Linked DNA regions of Cricetulus griseus. The protein of the gene in region 3 interacts with the protein of the main gene of each other region in a pairwise test. Links are inferred from orthologs where the notes say so. Each region holds a gene or a part of one and is shown on either strand. Other genes may lie near its edges.

Region 1 (6,095 bases), about 140 Mb from region 3:
ATGACAAAGCGAACTGTCTTCTGCACCCAGCCACTACTTGGTGGTATGTAATAAATACTGACGAACAAATGGCTACAGATGATCTGGAAGTGACTCTCAATCCTCACTCCCAATGCAGTGTCCAAGTGTGCTCAGCAAGGGCCTAGAAAGACCCCTTCCCCAGAGGGAAGGCACCGAAGTTCCTGTTTGTATTTCCTTAAATTCACCACAGAGATTTTCCCCTATGTCCCAAACCACAAAATCAATGCATTGCAACAATGTGGTCTTAGACAATTTTGCTTCATTTCCCTCTACAGACAATGAACAAAGTTCCTTAAACTTGAAGACTTAGTTTAGTTCCTTTTGCTCTTTTTGAAAGAAAGATACTGTGTAGCTCTATCAGCCCTCAACTTTCTGGTCTTTCATTGATCTTTGATTCATAGTTGGTTACTGCACAATACAGAGCGCTACTTTTTTGTCACTGCTGTTCACTACATAGTGCAAATTAAAATATAGGCTTGAGCTTAAAAAAAAAAGCGCTACACATCAAAGTGTACCATGTCCCATACCAAGATTCCTTTATCCAGAGACCTCAGGGCCAGCTCAATAAGCCATATTAAAAAATGCTGTGATATTATAAGTGTAACCCAGTGTTGCCAACTGGACTGCCTTCTCTCCTTTCAAGGCTTCAGTCTGAATCCCCCTCAGTCACTTGCATTCAAATGGACATCACTGTTTTCCGATATCAAACTGTCTCGGAGGATCAGAGTGGAGAATGGGAACACAAGCCACCAAGTGGGTTAAAAAAGAATTTCAAGAAGTCAGGCATGGTGGCATACACCTTTAATTCTCCTAGTCAGGCAGAGAGGCAGGTGGATCTCTGTGAGTTTGAGGCCAGCCAGGTCTACAGAGAGAGTCCCAGGACAGCCAGGGCTACACAGAGAAATCCTGTCTTGGGGGCGGGGGAGGGGGATGGAGAAAAAGAAAAGAAAGAAATTCAAAAGGTGTTTTCAGTTGTACCCAAAAAGCTAACTGAAAACACAACTTTAGGCCTGAAGAAATGATTCAGTGGTCAGTGCTCCTGTAGAGGACCCAGGTTCAATTCCCATCACCCACATGGCAGCTCACAACTGTCTGTAACTCCAGTTCCAGGGTCTCCATGGCACCAAGCATTCATGGGGTGCACATATATGTGTGTAAGCAAAATACCCACACATATATAAAATAAATAAATCCTCAAAAAAAAAAAAACCCAGCTTCAAATAACTTGAGAGAGTTATTTGCTCAGTCATCATGTACAATTTCAGCTGTCTTTTCCCCCATCGACAGGTTATAGGCTACACCTTACATCTCTGGTACAAACTCTTCGTCTCTGAAAAAGACATGCAAGGAACCGAATAGCGGTTGTCACTGAAGGAAGAGAAAACAGGGCTGGGGAACAGAAACAGAAGGCTTCCTGCTGCATACCTTTTTACATTTTATACATAATGAGTTGCTAATGAGTTGCTTTGTGTTGTTTGTGTATTGCTGGGGATGGAATGCAGGGCCTCCCATATGCAAGACCAGGGGCTGTAGTATGAGTTACATCACTGGTCCTGTATCACATACTTTTTTTGGTTTTTCAAGACCAAGACAGGGTTTCTCTGTGTAGCTTTGGAGCCTATCCTGGCACTCGCTCTGGAGACCAGGCTGGCCTCGAACTCACAGAGATCCGCCTGCCTCAGCCTCCCCAGTGCTGGGATTAAAGGTGTGTGCCACCACCGCCCTGCCCTGTATCACCTACTTTTAAGAAGCTGTTTGGTACAAGTCCTTTCCAACTGTGAGGTGGTGCTGAATTCTATTTCATAGAAAAGAACAGCACCAGAGGAAGTGAGCGTAGTTTTAATGGCACTTCACCACTGAACTTCATTGCAAACCTGGCTCTTCGGCCAGGACAGCAGTGTCCATAGGAAACCTTGCAAGTTCACCCACCCAGATGGCCTACAGTGGAGATACTCTGTTTCACCACTCCCTGAACATTCAAATGGAAAGCAAAGCCTGATACTCTAACAATTAGGAATGACGGACTGAGGTATGCTAATGAGCTATTAAATATTAGAGAATGAAGATAACAGTCGCAAATACACATGACAGATGTGTGAACTGCCATTCTGTAGACATGGGAGAAAGACGTCAGGGTTGGTGCCATCTGCAACATAACTTAAGCAGCTTGCGCCAACAAATGCAATATGATCTGTTGCTGGACACTATTGCACAATCTCAATTACCCAGAAGGTTCTACCAAACAGGAAATTCATGGTGTGACTTTAAGTAACACAGGACTCATACCTAAAGATTAACACATGCAGAACCCTGGAATTTGTTACAAAACAAACCATTTCACAAACCTTCGAAAACAGGAGTGTATATAAATTACTAAAGCACGTGAAGAGCTAAGCTGTTGAACCTCAAGAACCAGAGCTCTAAGAAGACACTAAGCCTAAAAGACACTGTATGAACCCTGGAGAGTTCCTAATCACTTCTGGAGTGGATATTTTATAGTATGGATTTAATTTGAAACCCACTCCCAGGGCCTTGCAAAGGTGGTAAAAGCCTTTATTCCAGGCCAGCCAGAAGAGTGAAGTTCAGGGCAGCCAGGGACATACAAAGTCTCAAATGAACAACAAAGAATCAAGAATCACGGTGTGAATGACAGCTGAGAAACATTGTTTCCTTTGCTCTCACCAAAGCCACGTCCCTCAGCCCTGGGAAAAAAAAAAAAAAAGCAAGCTGATAGCGCGCCCCTACAAATCTTCAAAGGGACTTAAAGAAAAGCATCCCAGGAATTATTTCAACTAAAAAGCTATTTACACCTCCGATCACTTGATCTGGAGTCCCTGTGGCCCGCATGGGAAAACTGATTTGTGGAGCAACACTGAAATGAGCAGTGGTGTGTGACTAAGCGGCGAGCGGTGGCGTCCTTGCAGGCGCTGCCACCCTCCCGCCCCGAAAAGGAAATACGCTTTCAACCGAATCGGAAACACAGCACGCAAGCTGGCACCGCGCTCGCCGAGATAAAGTCAGCATTCTAGGCTCTTCGGGGTGCTGCTAATTCATGTGCTAATTCCCAAAGAACGCTTCCGGAGCCAGATTTGTCCCCCCTCCAGATGGAGTCTTGCAAGAAAAAGGAAAAAACAAAAACAAAAATCCGGGAAGGGAGCGCTTTTTTTTTTTTTTTCTTGCAAGTTTCGTTCCGGTGACCGCAGTCGCGGGGTCAGGCTGTGTGCCCTGCCGCTCCTCGCAGAGGCTCCGCCCGGCTGGCTCGCCCGCTCTCCCGGGGCTGCGGGGCTGCGGAGGGAGCCCGGGAGGGGCGCAGGGTGGAGCCCGCGCGGCTGCACCCGGGTGGGTGAGTGAGGGGTGCAGGGCCCGGCCGGGGCAGAATTCCTGCCGCTGGGCGCATCGCGGAGCCGCGGGCACAGGCCGGGCCTCAGGCTCGCACGCTCGCACGCACGGAGGCTCGCACGCAGGCACGCAGGCAGGGCCGCCCCGCCGGCTCCGGCGTCCCCGGACCCCAGGCCCGGCGACACTCACCACACCGAGCCGTAGGCGCCCGAGCCCACCGGGGACAGGTTCTGGTAGCGCTCGGGCACCTCCCAGATGGTCTTGTTCAGCTCCTGCCGGTAGAACGTGGGCCTCTCCTGAGACATCTTCCAGCGGCGGCCGGGGCCGCTGCCTGCAGCCGCACGCTGTCTGTCCTCGGCGCTCGCCCGCCGCTCGCCCGCCGCTCGCCCGCGCGGGGCTGGCTGGACGCCGCGGCCCCTGTCAGAGCCGCGGGCACGCGCGGGAGCCGGCTGTGCGGCTCGAGGCTGCTCCCGCCGCTGCGCTGCAGCCGCGCCGCGCCGACGCCGCACGACTCCCGCTCGCAGCGCTGCAGCGCCGCCCGCCCGCCCGGGCTCCCGTGGGCTGGCTCCGGCCGCCGCGCTCCTCCCGGCAACGACCGGAGCCTCTCGCGGAAGTCTCGCGAGAACAACGCCCCGTCCCGCCCGCGCCCACGGCCCCGCCCCGTCCGACCGCCCCGCCCCGCCCCGCCGGGATCTTACCCAATACGGAACCCGCCCGTGGGAGGGGCCGCTGCGAGCGCGCCGGAGGCGGCGCCTCTCGCGAGAACACGGAGCGGGCGGGGCTGGCAGGGCTTCGGGGCAGGGGCTCTCGGAGGAGGAGCGCGGGGAGGATGGAGAGGACGGAGGAGGAGCGCGGGGAGGAGCGCGGGGCGGACGGGAGAGAGGAGCGCGCGGAGGAGCGCGGGGCGGAGGAGGACGGGGAGGAGGAGCGCGGGGAGGAGCGCGGGGCGGACGGAGAGGAGGAGCGCGGGGAGGAGCGCGGGGAGGAGCGCGGGGCGGACGGAGAGGAGGAGCGCGGGGAGGAGCGCGGGGAGGAGCGCGGGGCGGACGGGGAGGGCGCAGCGCGTGCCGCGCGCGCCTCGCTGTGGTCGGCTGGGCGAGCGCTGGCGCCAGGGCGGCAAAGCTGCCGGCCCCTGGCTGCCCAGGGACGGACGGACGGACAGACGGACGGACTGATGGACGGACGCTCGCTGCCCCTGCCCCGGAGCCCAGGCCGCCCCTCCAGACGCCCAGGAGCCCCCTTCAGTTTTCTCAGGCTGAAGAGCCGCCCTGGACGTTTCAGAAGCAAATTCCAGGGGCCGGGCCGGCCGGGCTCGGGGCCTGCGTAGCATTTGCGAGGTCCTGGGTTCGATTCCTGTGCTGGAAGGGACAGGGACGTATGTACCCATGCGCGCACACACATGCACACACACACACACACATGCACACACACACGTATGCGCGCACACAATGCACACACACGTATGCACGCACACACATGCACACACCACACACACACACATGCGCGCGCACATGCACACACAGACACACACGCGCGCGCACATGCACACACAGACACGCACACGTGCGCGCACACACGTGCACACACACGCACACACACGTATGCGCGCACACACATGCACCACATGCTCACACACACCACACGTATGTGCGCACACACATGCACACACACATGCTGGTAGGTCATTGTATTCCAGGAAGGTCTCCTCTTCCATATATATATGAATATAATGTATATGAATATTTTACACACACTATATATATTTTATTTATATATATTTATATATATGTAATATATATGTATATATGTAATAAATATATATATGTAATAAATAAATGTAATAAATATATATTTATTACTCTCTGTGACCCCAGCAGTTGGAAGGAAGCCCAGCCTCTGCTGTGCAATGAGTAGCTAGCAGGCAGCCTGGGCTGCTTTTCTGAAACACCCAAAACCCATTCCTGGGGTTTGAGCCTGACTCCTGCCCATGAGAACCATCCCGACTGTAGAGATTTAAAGGAAACTTTGGAGACTCCTAAGAATGTGAACTCAGAGAATTTTAAAGACTTAATCCCCGCCCGGGCGCATGGGGAACGGGGCAGCGAGTTCTGGCAGCGCAGCTTGGAGACAAACCTGCTGACCTGAGGCCCCGGCTCGACTTCCCACGAGAGGTCAAGCATCCCCCCGTCTTGGAAGCTGAAGATAAACGTGACCGTGCGCGCCTCTCTGCGTTCGTCTGAGCAGAGGAGAGGCCGTTTCCGAGGATGCCCAGGGTGCCCGCGGCCCGGGTGTGCTGCGCAGCCGGGTACCCTTCTCCTGGCCCGGGTGCCGTCCACGCCAGCCTGCGCGTCACCCGCCGCACCCCCGGAACGCCCGCGGGTTCTGCAGCAACGGCTCGGAACTGCCGGCCTCCGCGTCCGTCCGCCTCCAGCCAGTCTGACCCCAGCGTCTGCGACTCCCGCCCGCCACCGGGAACCAGGTGAGCCTCGGTCCGGAGCCATCGGGAGCTCTGGCTGCAGCCCGGGAGCCCAGAGGCAGCGGAGCGTCCCAGGGCGGGGCTGGTGGGGTCACCTGCAGGGCCCAGAGGGTCCTGGGCACTCTGGATTGTTTGCGCTACGAGTGGATGGATGGATGATGGGTGGATGAAGGGAGGGAGGGAGGGAGGGAGGAGGGAGGAGGGAGGGAGGGAGGGAGGGAGGGGGTGGGTGGATGGTGGAGGGAGGGGTGAGAGAGGG
Region 2 (6,299 bases), on a different chromosome or scaffold from region 3:
TCCATTGAGTTTTCATTTGCATGAGAACGTTTGCTTTTAAAGAACCTGTCTTGGTACTTCTGATGGTGCATTTGATATTCTGTTATTTGGAAACAAAATACTTCAGCATTCAAGTAATAAAACTGTTTCATGGGTATTATGTTTGTGTTGAACCTTGCAGGAAGCAAAAGCTGTAGGTTTGTGTGTGTGTGTGAGAGAGAGAGAGGGGGGGGCAGAGACACAGAGAGAGTTTATGGCTTTAATCTTAATGGCTAGGAAAGTAGACAGCACATTTCTTATTAATTATTTTTACTATGTGGGTAATGCACATATTTAGCTTTCTTTGGGGAACATTTAAATTAATTGACTAAGTCTAATATGAATTATGTGTTTTAATATGTTTAAGGTTGTTAAAATAATGCAAATTAACTGCTTGCACCAACGTAATAATTACAATATTAGTTTTTTCCCTTGAAAATTCTCTAAATGTAAGATGTCTAAAAATAGAGTGGAGGTGGATTGGACAGTTTGCAGATTATGAGCTGGAATAAAAACATCTCAGTTACGCCAAAAACATGGCAACCAATATTTTCTGTTATAAAAATATTTTAGATGGATTTCGGTTTTTTTATGAAAGCTGTCTGCAACTGAAGTGAAGAGCAGAAGCTTTGTTGATTCACGGGCCAGCAGTCACAATACCTGCAACACAAAGCATGCGCCTTTTCCACGCGAAGCCGGCAAGCTTCTGCTCCTTTTCAAAGACAGACACCACTCAGTTAAGCTCTGAACTATTAACCCTCACCTGGATAAAGCTCAGGAGGGAAAACAAAACTAGTCAGAGCCTTGACAGGAAAGTCCTGTTAACTGTCCACTAGAGGCTGTAATGAGACCAACAATGTCACTTGAGCATATGAAGTCTAACAAACATGGATCTTTAAGTGAACAACACAAGTTACGGAGGGGGCTGAGAGGGAAGGAACAGTCGTAGTTCTATTTAAGTAGCCGTGGATGTGTGCACGGTATTTCAAAACCTGAAAATAGATATGTATCCTACCCCCCCCTCCGGGCTTTTTTTTTTTTTCTTCTGAAGTGCTGGCTCCACAATTCAGTAGTTTAAAAAGCTCACGCATTTCTCCTGGTGATTCTGTACGCTGCTTCAGACAGTGACTAACTGTTAGGTCATAAGTAAACGGAGCCAAAAGGTCTCTCAAATCCCGCTTACAGTCAATAATAGTGGCTTCCTACAAGACCGAGGGATCGGGTTTCTAGACTCTTAGTTCTAAGCACCTGAAAGAGGTCAGATGCTGGCCTGACACCTACTGGTTTTCGAGAATTATCTGCAGCAAAGGGAACTCGGCACTGAGCGACCCTTGTAGGGTTGTGCCCGCTCTTTCTCCGGGTGCCACACCTGTTGGCAAGGTACACTCCTCCGGGGAAGATTCCTTCCCACCGAGCTCACACCTGGCAGTGCTGTAGCGGAGGGGGTGGGTGGGGGGACTCTATGTCTGCGTTCAGCCACCAGGACCAGGGAAAGTTCCTTTGCCGTGGATTCCCGAGAACCGCCATCGAATGGTCGGGGCACCGGTTACCTCACTTCCGATGAAATGAGTGATTCCCTGTTAGCTGAGAAAGGAGTGAGCAGGTCGGCTCCCAGAGCTAGAACTGAGACGTCTGATTCCTACTGCAGATTTCTAGACCTGCAGAATTAGATAGGAGGGTCGGGAGGCTGCCAGCTTGTCCGGGCAGGAAAGGTGAGGGCGCCAGTGCAAACTGAGGAAGCCTGAGAACTTTCCCGAGTTGCAAGCCAAGGCGCGGGCCCAGAGTCGGGTTGCTCAGGGCTCACCGGCTGGAGGGTTAACAGCGAGGATACAGTGAGTCCTCTTAGACACACACCGGGGTGGCGGGGTGGGGGCACCAAGGTCACTTCGGGATTAGAGTCAGCCGACTTCCCCGCATCCTTGCTTATTTTACCAGGTGGGAACCGAAGCCTGACACCCGCTGCGGTGAGTCCTCCAGGCTGCGAGCGTTGCACCCTACACTCGCCCTGTCCCCTCCAACTAGGTTGCAAGGAGACGGGGAGGCGCGCGAGCTCCGACGGGTCACCACTCCAATGACCTCATCGCCCCAACTTCCCCTCCCCTTTCTCAAACCTGGAAGGCACAGTCCCCACGGGCCGATGTCCGGGATCCGGAGCCGCAGTTAGGGAGAGGCACCGGGCCTCCCCTGGAGGGAGGGACCGCTGCTCCGGCCGGGTGCACAGAAGGGTTAAGGGCGCGGGCCGGCAGCCGCGCCGTGCGCTCGCCGTGCTCTGTGCGGCTCGCCGGGCCGCCTGCCAGAGGGTGCCCCCCCCCCCCCATGAAGTCGGATCCTTGAGCTGTGGCGGCGGCAGCCAACTGCTCCATATTTGGCTTCTATTACACATTTACATACTGGAGCGAGCGAGCGAGCGCGAGAGAGAGCGCGAGGGAGGGAGGGCGGGCGGAGGGAGGAGGGAGGGGAGGGGGGAGGAGGAGGAGGAGAGAGCAGAGTATACCGCAGACATCATTTCTACTACAGTGGCGGAGCCGTACAGGACCTGTTTCACTGCAGGGGGATCCAAAACAAGCCCTGTGGAGCCGCAGCTAGAGCTACAGCAGCCGCAGGACACTGTGTCTCTCCCTCTGTCCCCCCTTCCCCACGCAACCCCAGATCCATTTACACTTTACAGTAAGTGGCTATTTTTTTTCCTCCTCTGATTCTTTCTCTCCCCCTCCCCCTTCCTCCTCTCCCCCCCCCTCGATTTAGATTAAAATCACCCCCTCCCTCACCCCAATCCTCTCTCTCCGGAGAGGGGCCAAAGAACATCCAGCGTACAATCTCCCCTCCCCCAGTCTCAATGGGCTACAAGGAAAACAGCTGGAAGAGGAGCGAAGGAAACCGACGCGTCGTGGTGTGTGTGCGTGTGTGTGTGTGTGTGAGTGTGTGTGTGTGTGTGTGTGCGTGTGCGCGCGCGCGTGTGTGTGAGTGTGTGTACATATACCCCTGCCGGGCTCCAGCCTCCCGGCTCGGGACCCCACTCTGGGCGCTGGAGCAGCGGGCCCGGGGAGCAGCCAGGGGTGGGCCGCCCCCAGGAGAGGGGGCGCGCCCGGGCAAGGGGCGCGGGTGGGGAGAGCGGCGGCGCCCCGCTCAGGCTGCTGCTGGCCCGGCGGCGGCGAGAGCCGAGAGCCTGGTCCTCCTCCCTCCTGGTGGCGCAGGGGGAGGCGGCAGCGGCTGAGGGTCGCGCTGCCCTCTTCGCTTTTGCAAATTCTCCCTCCCGGGAGGGGGCGGTGAGCGCCGCGGGGACTCGAGGGAGGGCTGGGCTTCCCCGCCCGGGGTCGCCTAGCTTGTGCGAGGCGACCCCAAGACTGGGGTCTCCCCGCCCAGGCCAGCCTCTGGGGACCGGGGACTTTGCGCACGGCCTGGGGGAGAGGAGAGGTGGCGGCGCAGGGGGCAGGGGCGCGCAGGCTATCGGAGCGCAGCGGGAGTGGCGGCGGGGACGGGCCCTGGCTGCAGCCGCCGCCACCGCCGCCCTGTTGGTGCGGCCGCTTCCTGATCCAAAGCAGCCGCCGCCGCCGCCGCCGCTGCCGGAGCCGGAGCCCGAGCTTCCCAGCCCGGCCCGGCCCGGCGTCCCAGCCGGCGCCCGAGGCAGCAGCCGAGGAGGGGCTCTGCCCTGCTCCGGGACTGCTCGGCTGCGCGGCGGCAGGGAGGGTGAATGAAGATGGGAGGAGGGGAAGGAGGAGGCGGCGGAGGAGGAGGCGCTGCGGGGATTGGGATGCGCCCCGGAGCCCCGCGGCTCGTTCACTCCGAGCCCGAGACGCCGCCTCTGCCGTGGCTGCCGCGGCCGCCGCGCCTCCTACGTGGTTGCAACGGAGCGCGCAGGCCGGTCCCGCAGGGGGCAGGGAAGGGGCCGGACGGGCGGAGCGAGAGGTGAGGCGGGGTCGGAGAGGAGGGAGTGAGAGCCTGTGAGTGTGTAGGTGTGTATGTGTGCGTGTGTTCTCGCGCCGAGTGGGGACCAGAGCCTCCGAGATGGGGAGGGGTCCCGCGGTGGTCCTTTGGCTGACTCTGCAGCGCCTCGACTTCTCCTTAGCCACCTCCTTCAACTCTGGGGCTTGTGCGCTTTCATTTTATTTCAGACCACGTAGAGCTGACTGGAAGCGGTGAAACAATTCAGGTTTTCTAGGGAGATTGAGCAAGGACCTTAGTGGTGGGGGGTGGAAGTAGGATGGTGATCTAGACTCTGCCAGAAAAAAAAAAAAAAAATCAGGGTTTTAAGACGGTGGAGTTCAGTTCGATCCCGTGGCTGTCCTGTTTTGTTTTGCTTTCTTTCTGCATAATCCTACAGATAAGAGGGTAATATAAATACTTGGGAAGGTTGGGAAATTGCTGAAGAGTAGTAAGGGCGAAAAAAAAAAAAAGCCAGTCGGAAGCTGGTTATATAATGCTCTATGTGGCTAACAAGAAAGGCAAGCTATTTTTATTTTGTTTACCGTATGTTGTGCAGTAGGAACTCCTCCAAACTGGTTCTGTCCCCGAAGAGATTTCTTAGCTTCTCAGAGAGAGCCACAGGATACAATTAGTAAAATTAGAAGACCCCACACCACCTACAGAATAAAAAGTAGTGCCTTACAGTAGAGTTCTCACCCTTGCATGCAGAGGACTGTGTGTGTGCAATATGTTTCCCTGTGGCAATCTAGTCTCATCTCAGTGACATTTCTGTTTTATAATGCAAGCTCCCCTTAATATTTAAACATCATTGCTATAGGTCGTACACAACAAGGTAGTTACATGCTGGTTATTTTTAGGCACAGCTGGTTACTTTTCAGTAGTGTTTGCAAGCTATTTCTATTTGGTTTTCTGAAAAGCCCTGCAGTTCCTAGAAGCCCTAAGTTAAGCCCACCCTCTGGTTTCTTGATGGTGGGTAGGTAGCTAAGACAGTTTGACAGCCGAGAGTTTATTTTTATTTTATTTTTGAATGAAGTTTATGCTAGTGGAAGCTAGAGGTAGCCACCAAAAGAAAAACATGTGCACGAACTCTTGGGAAGGGATTGCACCATAACAGTTTAGCTGTGGCATTTAATCTCCTCTGATTGTCCTCTAACTGGCCATGCATCAGTCAATATTTTAGCAGCTTTGCAAATAAATGGGCTTGAATGCTCCCTTCCATAGGAGGCTGAAAAGCCTCCTGCCTGTCTGCCTCTCTCATCATACAGATACTGTCAGTGGTGTTAGTTTTCTGTACACTTACTCCGGCCCTGATCACTCATGTAATTAGATCAGGCTGCCATGGCAACAGACAGTGTTTCTTGGTCCATTCAGGTGGGTTTGCCTGAACTACTCCTAGTGTTTTATGCACAATATTCGAGCTGCCCGAACCAGAAAGGAGAAAGACTTCGCCATTTCAATTGCATCTTCTTTCAGTCATCTGAACAGGAGACTGAATGAGGCTTCTAGCTACTTAGCTTCTTTAAAGGAAACCAACCCACTGTTCCTACTGGGTACAATATGTAAATGTATCTCCCCAGACAGTGAAAGGAGCCTGACAATCCTTCTGGTGTTTATTGTTAGCAGATCAACAAGTATTTGATACTTGCTAGAAACCTTTCAGAGCTCACTGAAGCAACGTTTCTTTTGCATTCTAGAGCCTTTGGCCTTGTAGGCACTTAACTCTTTCAAGTGTGAGAGAAGAGGACACCCATGCTTTAGGACTGAAATTGGGGGCAGTGTTGCTGGCTTTTTAGGTAGTTTACTAAGAGGAGCTGGCTTCTTGGGAAAGTATATTCCCACTGTCACATTTTAAAACTTCACAGCCCACGTTATAAAAAGGGACACTGATAGTAGGCAGGCATTCTGAATGTTATCTTTCTGAATTTCGATCTGTTGCTCCTGATCCTTGATGATCTTCAGTAGTAATTGAAGATATTTTTACAGCTAAGTTAGGGATGCTACAAGCCAGTATCATGCATGGAGCTTTGCACATTAAACCGTGTATATGATACTTAGGGATATAATTTAATAAACATTAAATTATATAAATAAGAGAGCTGCAGGCCAGTGTTTGCATTCCCTTATCACCTTAAGCCTGCTAAGGGCAGAAAAAATATATATATTATGAAAGAAAAGTAGCTTTAGTTGCTGGAACCTGGCACTGTCGAAACAAAGGGAATGTTTTAATAACTTTGAATATGTCATGATTTAGTTGTGACCTTGCCAGTCAGTTTATAGTTTTAAGACCAAGTAGCTAAATCAGTTAAAATAGAAGAAAGACACACAGAGATAATACCCCCGCCCCCAACCACCACTTC
Region 3 (5,437 bases):
GGGGGGGGGGATGAAGTAGAAATGCAGTTCTTTTCATTCACTGGTCTTGTAAAAAAAAAGAAAGAAAAATTGCTCAGAATTTTGGAGTGGTTGGCATGCCTCTCTTCACTTTACTCTTTGACTGGCCACCTGAATGTCGGTGACGATGTAGCTGGGCTGTTTGTGCGGCGGCTGCTGCCATAGCCATCTGATGTTGCAAGAATCTCAACTGCTGTAAAAGTGGAAAAAAGGAGATGACATTATGTTAAATGCATAGGTGTAGAAAGGTGCTTCCCCAGGAGTGATGAAAACAAGCCCAAGAGGAGAAAGCATGAGGTCACAAAGGGTACTTCCCCAAATCAGGATACTGTAGGGGTCTGCTGAGGGCTTTAAATACTATTCTTGAAAATGATACAATTATCTATTACTTAGCCCTGGCAGTCCATATTGCAGTAATGCAGCAACTTCAGTTACCATTTTGTTGTATGATGATCATTTATAGCAAAATGAACCAATTACCAAGAGTCAATCATGGTATGCTAACACCTTTTCTTAAAATAATAGGTAACATTTTTCTAAACATGTATGACATTTACTAACAGGAACACTCCCACAATACAGAATCAAAGTTAATAATTGGCACTTACAACTATTTCAAAATACAATGCACATTAAAGGGGTGTGTGGAATGTGCCACCAAGACCTTAAAAAGGATTTAAAGATGCACTGTTACAAAATACACTCAATGCTCCAAGCTGACTAGCATTTAAAAATGTCAGACTTCTAAATCAAACTAAATTACTGACCAATTGCTTTAGACTTAACAGACAGGAAAGTAGCCCTACTACTGCAAGGCAATGCACAGTACTTTTGGAACTCAGGGTCTTAATTAATCAAGTGAATCTGCTGGCTTACTTGAATCTGCTGCTGCTGCTGCTGCTGCTGCTGCTGCTGCTGTTGCTGCTGCTGCAAGGCAGAGGAGAGCTGGAGTCTCTGCTGAAGAAGGCTTTGCTCAGGTCTGTTCTCGGCAGAGCTAAGCTGAGACAACACTACAGGAGAAGGGGAAAGCAGGCCAGTCAAAAGTTTGAAGGTGCCCAGGGTTAGAAAACACAATATAGAAAATGAGAAAAATAGAAATTAACCTTAAGTATCAAAGCATACATATTTTAGAATAAATTTAGTCTCCTGCTAATTAAGGGTGTCACTGTTTTCAGAACATTCTGGCCATACAGAGATAAGGGAGTGCCCAGATTAAGGTATTGTATTCCTTCCATCTCTTCTTTTTCTTTTTATTTTGAGACAGAGTCTCATCCCAGGCTGGCCTCAGGACACACTATGTAGAAGAGGTTAACCCTGAATTCCTGATTCTCTTCTTTCCACTTGCAGAATGCTTTGGTTATAGGTTTATGCCATTGTATCCAGTGTTCTGTAGTACTGAAGCACTCTAGCACCTCAGCTACATGCATCCTGCCTCCATGGCAACCTCTTTGCATCCCTATGGAACTTGATACTGGACCATGGTCCGAAAGCCACCCTTATATGAAGTAAAGTGAGCCAAGACTTGCAGCTGATGGGGCCATTCTAGTCATACCACATTCTCAAGTGCAGGTGGCAAGGCAGACCTGGCCTAAGTGACTGCAATTTTGTCTGAAGCCAGACAAATTCTCATGATCTGTCTACCATTCTTTTCACAAATTTACTTTGGCTATTTTAGAAAAACTACAACTTGTTTGGTAAAGGTAGTTACAAATCTGCATTTGGAAATTCACTAATTCTAAATTACAGCTCTATGTAGGAATTACTTTCAAACTGTAGACGTAGATTACTCCTACTAAGTAAGGAACATCTAAATTTGAAAACTGGTAGTTACAGAAAAGGTAACACTCAACACATAGGGACAATTCACTGAATCCTCAAATTCCATTATAGCTTTGTTAATTTTTTTAAATACAATTCTATCATGTGGCTTATTCAAATGTGAAGTCAGAATTCAGTACAGTATTACCTTTTGTTTACTTTCTCCTACTGAAAGTGGGAGCATTCAAATTTCCTTTTTATAAGCAAGTAACTCACAGAAGTTTTACTAATTATGAAGATTTAACTCATAGAAGTACAAACAGAAAAATTATGCAATCTAGGAAAATGTAGTCTCAGGTAATTAAGAAAACAGAATTAACCACTTGCAGTGCAAACACTGAAAACTGCTTTGACAGCTTTCTATAAACTCAGATGAATATGTAAAAGCTGACCAGTTAACCACTGTAAATGGAACATATAAGTATGTGAGTCAACACTTTCACAATCAGCTGTCCAAGTAATTTTTAAAAGAAAAACTCCTGGCCAACTGTTTGTTAATCTAATAGTTCACAGATTAAATACTTCAGTTTTTTTCTGATTATTGCTTGCAAGGAAATAATTTACACAGTGAGATCTCAATAGGAAGTCAGGATGGTACCTACCAGCTGCCTGTGACGGTGTAAAGCCTCCTACTCCTGTAAGATTAATAACAGCAGCTTGCTGAGCAGTTAAGGCCTGTTCTTGAGCAGTTAAACCTTGTTCAGAACCCTGAATTAAGAAAAAAAAAGAATAACAAGTGACTTGTACAAAAAGGGCAAAGCAATTTGAGTCAGTGAGAAGACAGCTTTTCTTTGCTGTATGAGGAAGAAAACAACAGTAGCTTAGGTTTCATATAAATATAAACTATGAACATATGTAGAAGTAGCAAGAATGGAACCCGCTCCTTGGAATGAACAACAGCTAAAATAATTTGTGCTGGAGAGATGGTTCAATGATTAAGAGCACCAAGTGCTCTTCTGCAGGATCCAGGCTTGATCCCCTGGGGGATCAAGGCTGGGGATCAAGCCTGGATCCTGCAGAAGAGGATCATTTCACAATCATTTGTAACTCCAGTTTCAGGGAATCTGACACCCTCTTCTGGCCTCCACAGGTACATGCATGCACATGGTACACAGGCATACATGCAAGTGAAACACCCATACATATAAAAATAAAATTTTAACAAGATATACTCTTGTCATCTCTCAAGATCATACAGAGTCAGAGAGAGGTACAATTTTGATAAATTATAGGGCAAGTAAAATTGTAGAACTCTTAAGAGGAAAATATAGGAGAATGGTTTCACCAGTTTGATTTGTGAATCATTTCTTCAATATGAACCCAAAAGTATAGTGGAAGAAAGTAAACATGTACAGCACAGAATGTATCAAAACTGCACAGGCCATGATCACAGTGAGTAACTGGGGATTTCTCAGATTTTTATGAAGAATATATATACAATGTCTTCAACTCAACAATGCAGAAATATATAACCTCATTAAAAAATAGGCCAGGGATTTATATAGATTTTTTTTTTCTTCAAAGATACAGAAACAAACAAGTGCAGAAAAGCTCTAGCCAGGGAGACTCTCAACTCATTCTCACGTGGGATAGCTGCTACTCAAAACAAAATCAGCTTAAACAGGAAGTGCAATGCCTAGCCTGCTGGAGGCGGAGTTTGATCTCTACCACAAGAAACAGAAAAATAAATAAACAAAAAGTTAGGATTTGGACAGACTGACCCTTGACCACCCTGCTGGTAGTAATGTAAAACAATGCAGCACTATAGTAGAAAACAGTGTGTTGTCTCAGGAAATTAACAGAATTCCTGTAAGACCCAACAAGTTCTTGACACATATCCAAATGAATGACCTGTCTGTTGTGACAGTAACAGACAGAAAAGGACACATGGGCCATGATTCTATCTCCCTACATGAGGCACTCAGGATGGTTAAGATAAAAAACCCACAATGGTGGCTGCCAGTGGATTGAGGAAGTTATCCGCTGTTTATAAAGTTTCAATTTTACAAGGTAGGAAGTGCTTTGTGCAACAGTGTGAATGCACTCAATACTGCTAAAATGTTAAATTTAAATGGTAAACAGCTGGCACGGTTCACACCTGTTATCCCATCACTTGCATGCTGGGGCAGAATGAATGCCAAGTTCCCAGCTAGGCTGGAGTAAGAACCTGTCTCAAAAACAGCAACAACAAAAAGCTTGAACAGTAAACTTCTGGCCCCAAGGCTGACCATAGAACCCAACAGTGTAAGGACAGAACCTACTCCTACCAGTCCTCTGGACTCATGTGTACCATCACCCATACACAGACATAAAGAAAATAAAATTTGTTTTTAAAAGGTGAAAGAAAACTAGACATCTTGTCAGTGAAGCAAAACCCTTAATGTGCTAATATATAATACAGAAAAGGTTTCCAACATGTAATCCCTGAGACACCTATTAGAGGATGAGTTCTACTCACTCAAGATTCAAAGAGGGACATGCAAGAGGGCTGATGGGATAGTTTTCAGCATCAGCTGAGACATTCAAGGTGAGACCCAGTTTCTCAAATGATTCTACAGACTAGCCCAAGTCCAGGAACACTTGTCCCTTTCTCTTCAAACTTCAGTTTATTTAATTACATCCTGACTGTAGTGTGCAGTATCTGCTTCTGTCTGTGTTCTGACTGCCCAATACTTCAAGACAACACAGACAGATCCACTGCAACAACAATAAATTTCTACAAACAGAAGATGATAGGCTAGTTAGAGAAGACATAGTAAGGTGGAGTCAACTGCCACTGTCATTCACTGTCTGGCTATGTGACACTTGCTTGTTGGCAAGATGGAGACCTCCATTCAGAGCAGCTATGATTAGAATAATTGGCAGCTACAGGTGTTGATAAAGAGAAAAAACACAGGAACTATTTCTTTCAACAAGTTCAAACAGTGGAAATGTATGAAAAAAAACATGTCCTAAGTTCCGAGTCCAAAATGCACATAACACAAAAAGGTTAAAGATCCCATACCTGCTCCTCTGGCTGCTGGGGACTTGAGGTTGTAGGCTGTTGAGGTTGTTGTACAAACTGAGGGAGCTGTGGCTGCGGCTGTTGCTGCTCAGTGTTAAAAATGACTGAACCACCAGGAAGCTATCCAGAATTTAAACAAGAATTAGCTACCTTTCCATTGTTTACATGTGAATGATTTAAATTTCCTTACAAATATTCACAGATAATTAGCTAGGAGTCAAGCACTCTTCCAGACTCTGAGGAAACAGATAAAGTCAGAGCAAGAGGACTGGAGATGAAATTCAGCAGCTGCTGGGTCAGCTTCTAGCACCTCCACACACACCACACAGAAGTAAAACAAAACAAGCTTTGTTTTATGGGCTTTGGAGGCTGTCCTAGAACTAGCTCTTGTAGACCAGGCTGGCCTTGAACTCACAGAGATCCGCCTACCTCTGCCTCCCAAGTGCTGGGATTAAAGGTGTGCGACACCATCGCCCCAGCTCCAGAAATTATTTTTAAATTCTACTGCTTTTTGGGTCTACTCAAATAGTATTTTCAAATATAAATTTCCTGCTTCAAGTTAATTATCTATAAAAATTTACAGTTTTTAAGCACTTA

Evidence for each region.
Region 1: the proteins of Supt20h (region 3) and Mapk14 interact in binary tests that used the Homo sapiens proteins (3 or more experiments, as listed by UniProt). The link is inferred for Cricetulus griseus from reciprocal best matches to the Homo sapiens genes SUPT20H and MAPK14.
Region 2: the proteins of Supt20h (region 3) and Atxn1 interact in binary tests that used the Homo sapiens proteins (3 or more experiments, as listed by UniProt). The link is inferred for Cricetulus griseus from reciprocal best matches to the Homo sapiens genes SUPT20H and ATXN1.

What each region holds. Positions count from the first base shown.
Region 1 is NW_023276806.1:233,800,722-233,806,816, reverse strand, and holds the start of Mapk14 (mitogen-activated protein kinase 14), read right to left. Parts: upstream 3,837-6,095; 5' UTR 3,666-3,836; coding exon 3,550-3,665; intron 1-3,549. UniProt on the Homo sapiens protein: Serine/threonine kinase which acts as an essential component of the MAP kinase signal transduction pathway.
Region 2 is NC_048596.1:265,664,652-265,670,950, reverse strand, and holds the start of Atxn1 (ataxin-1), read left to right. Parts: upstream 1-2,463; 5' UTR 2,464-2,685; intron 2,686-3,765; exon of another isoform or gene 3,766-3,924; intron 3,925-6,299. UniProt on the Homo sapiens protein: Chromatin-binding factor that repress Notch signaling in the absence of Notch intracellular domain by acting as a CBF1 corepressor. Binds to the HEY promoter and might assist, along with NCOR2, RBPJ-mediated repression. Binds RNA in vitro.
Region 3 is NW_023276806.1:96,570,156-96,575,592, forward strand, and holds part of Supt20h (transcription factor SPT20 homolog), read right to left. Parts: intron 4,961-5,437; coding exon 4,841-4,960; intron 2,545-4,840; coding exon 2,439-2,544; intron 1,029-2,438; coding exon 895-1,028; intron 212-894; coding exon 74-211; 3' UTR 1-73. UniProt on the Homo sapiens protein: Required for MAP kinase p38 (MAPK11, MAPK12, MAPK13 and/or MAPK14) activation during gastrulation.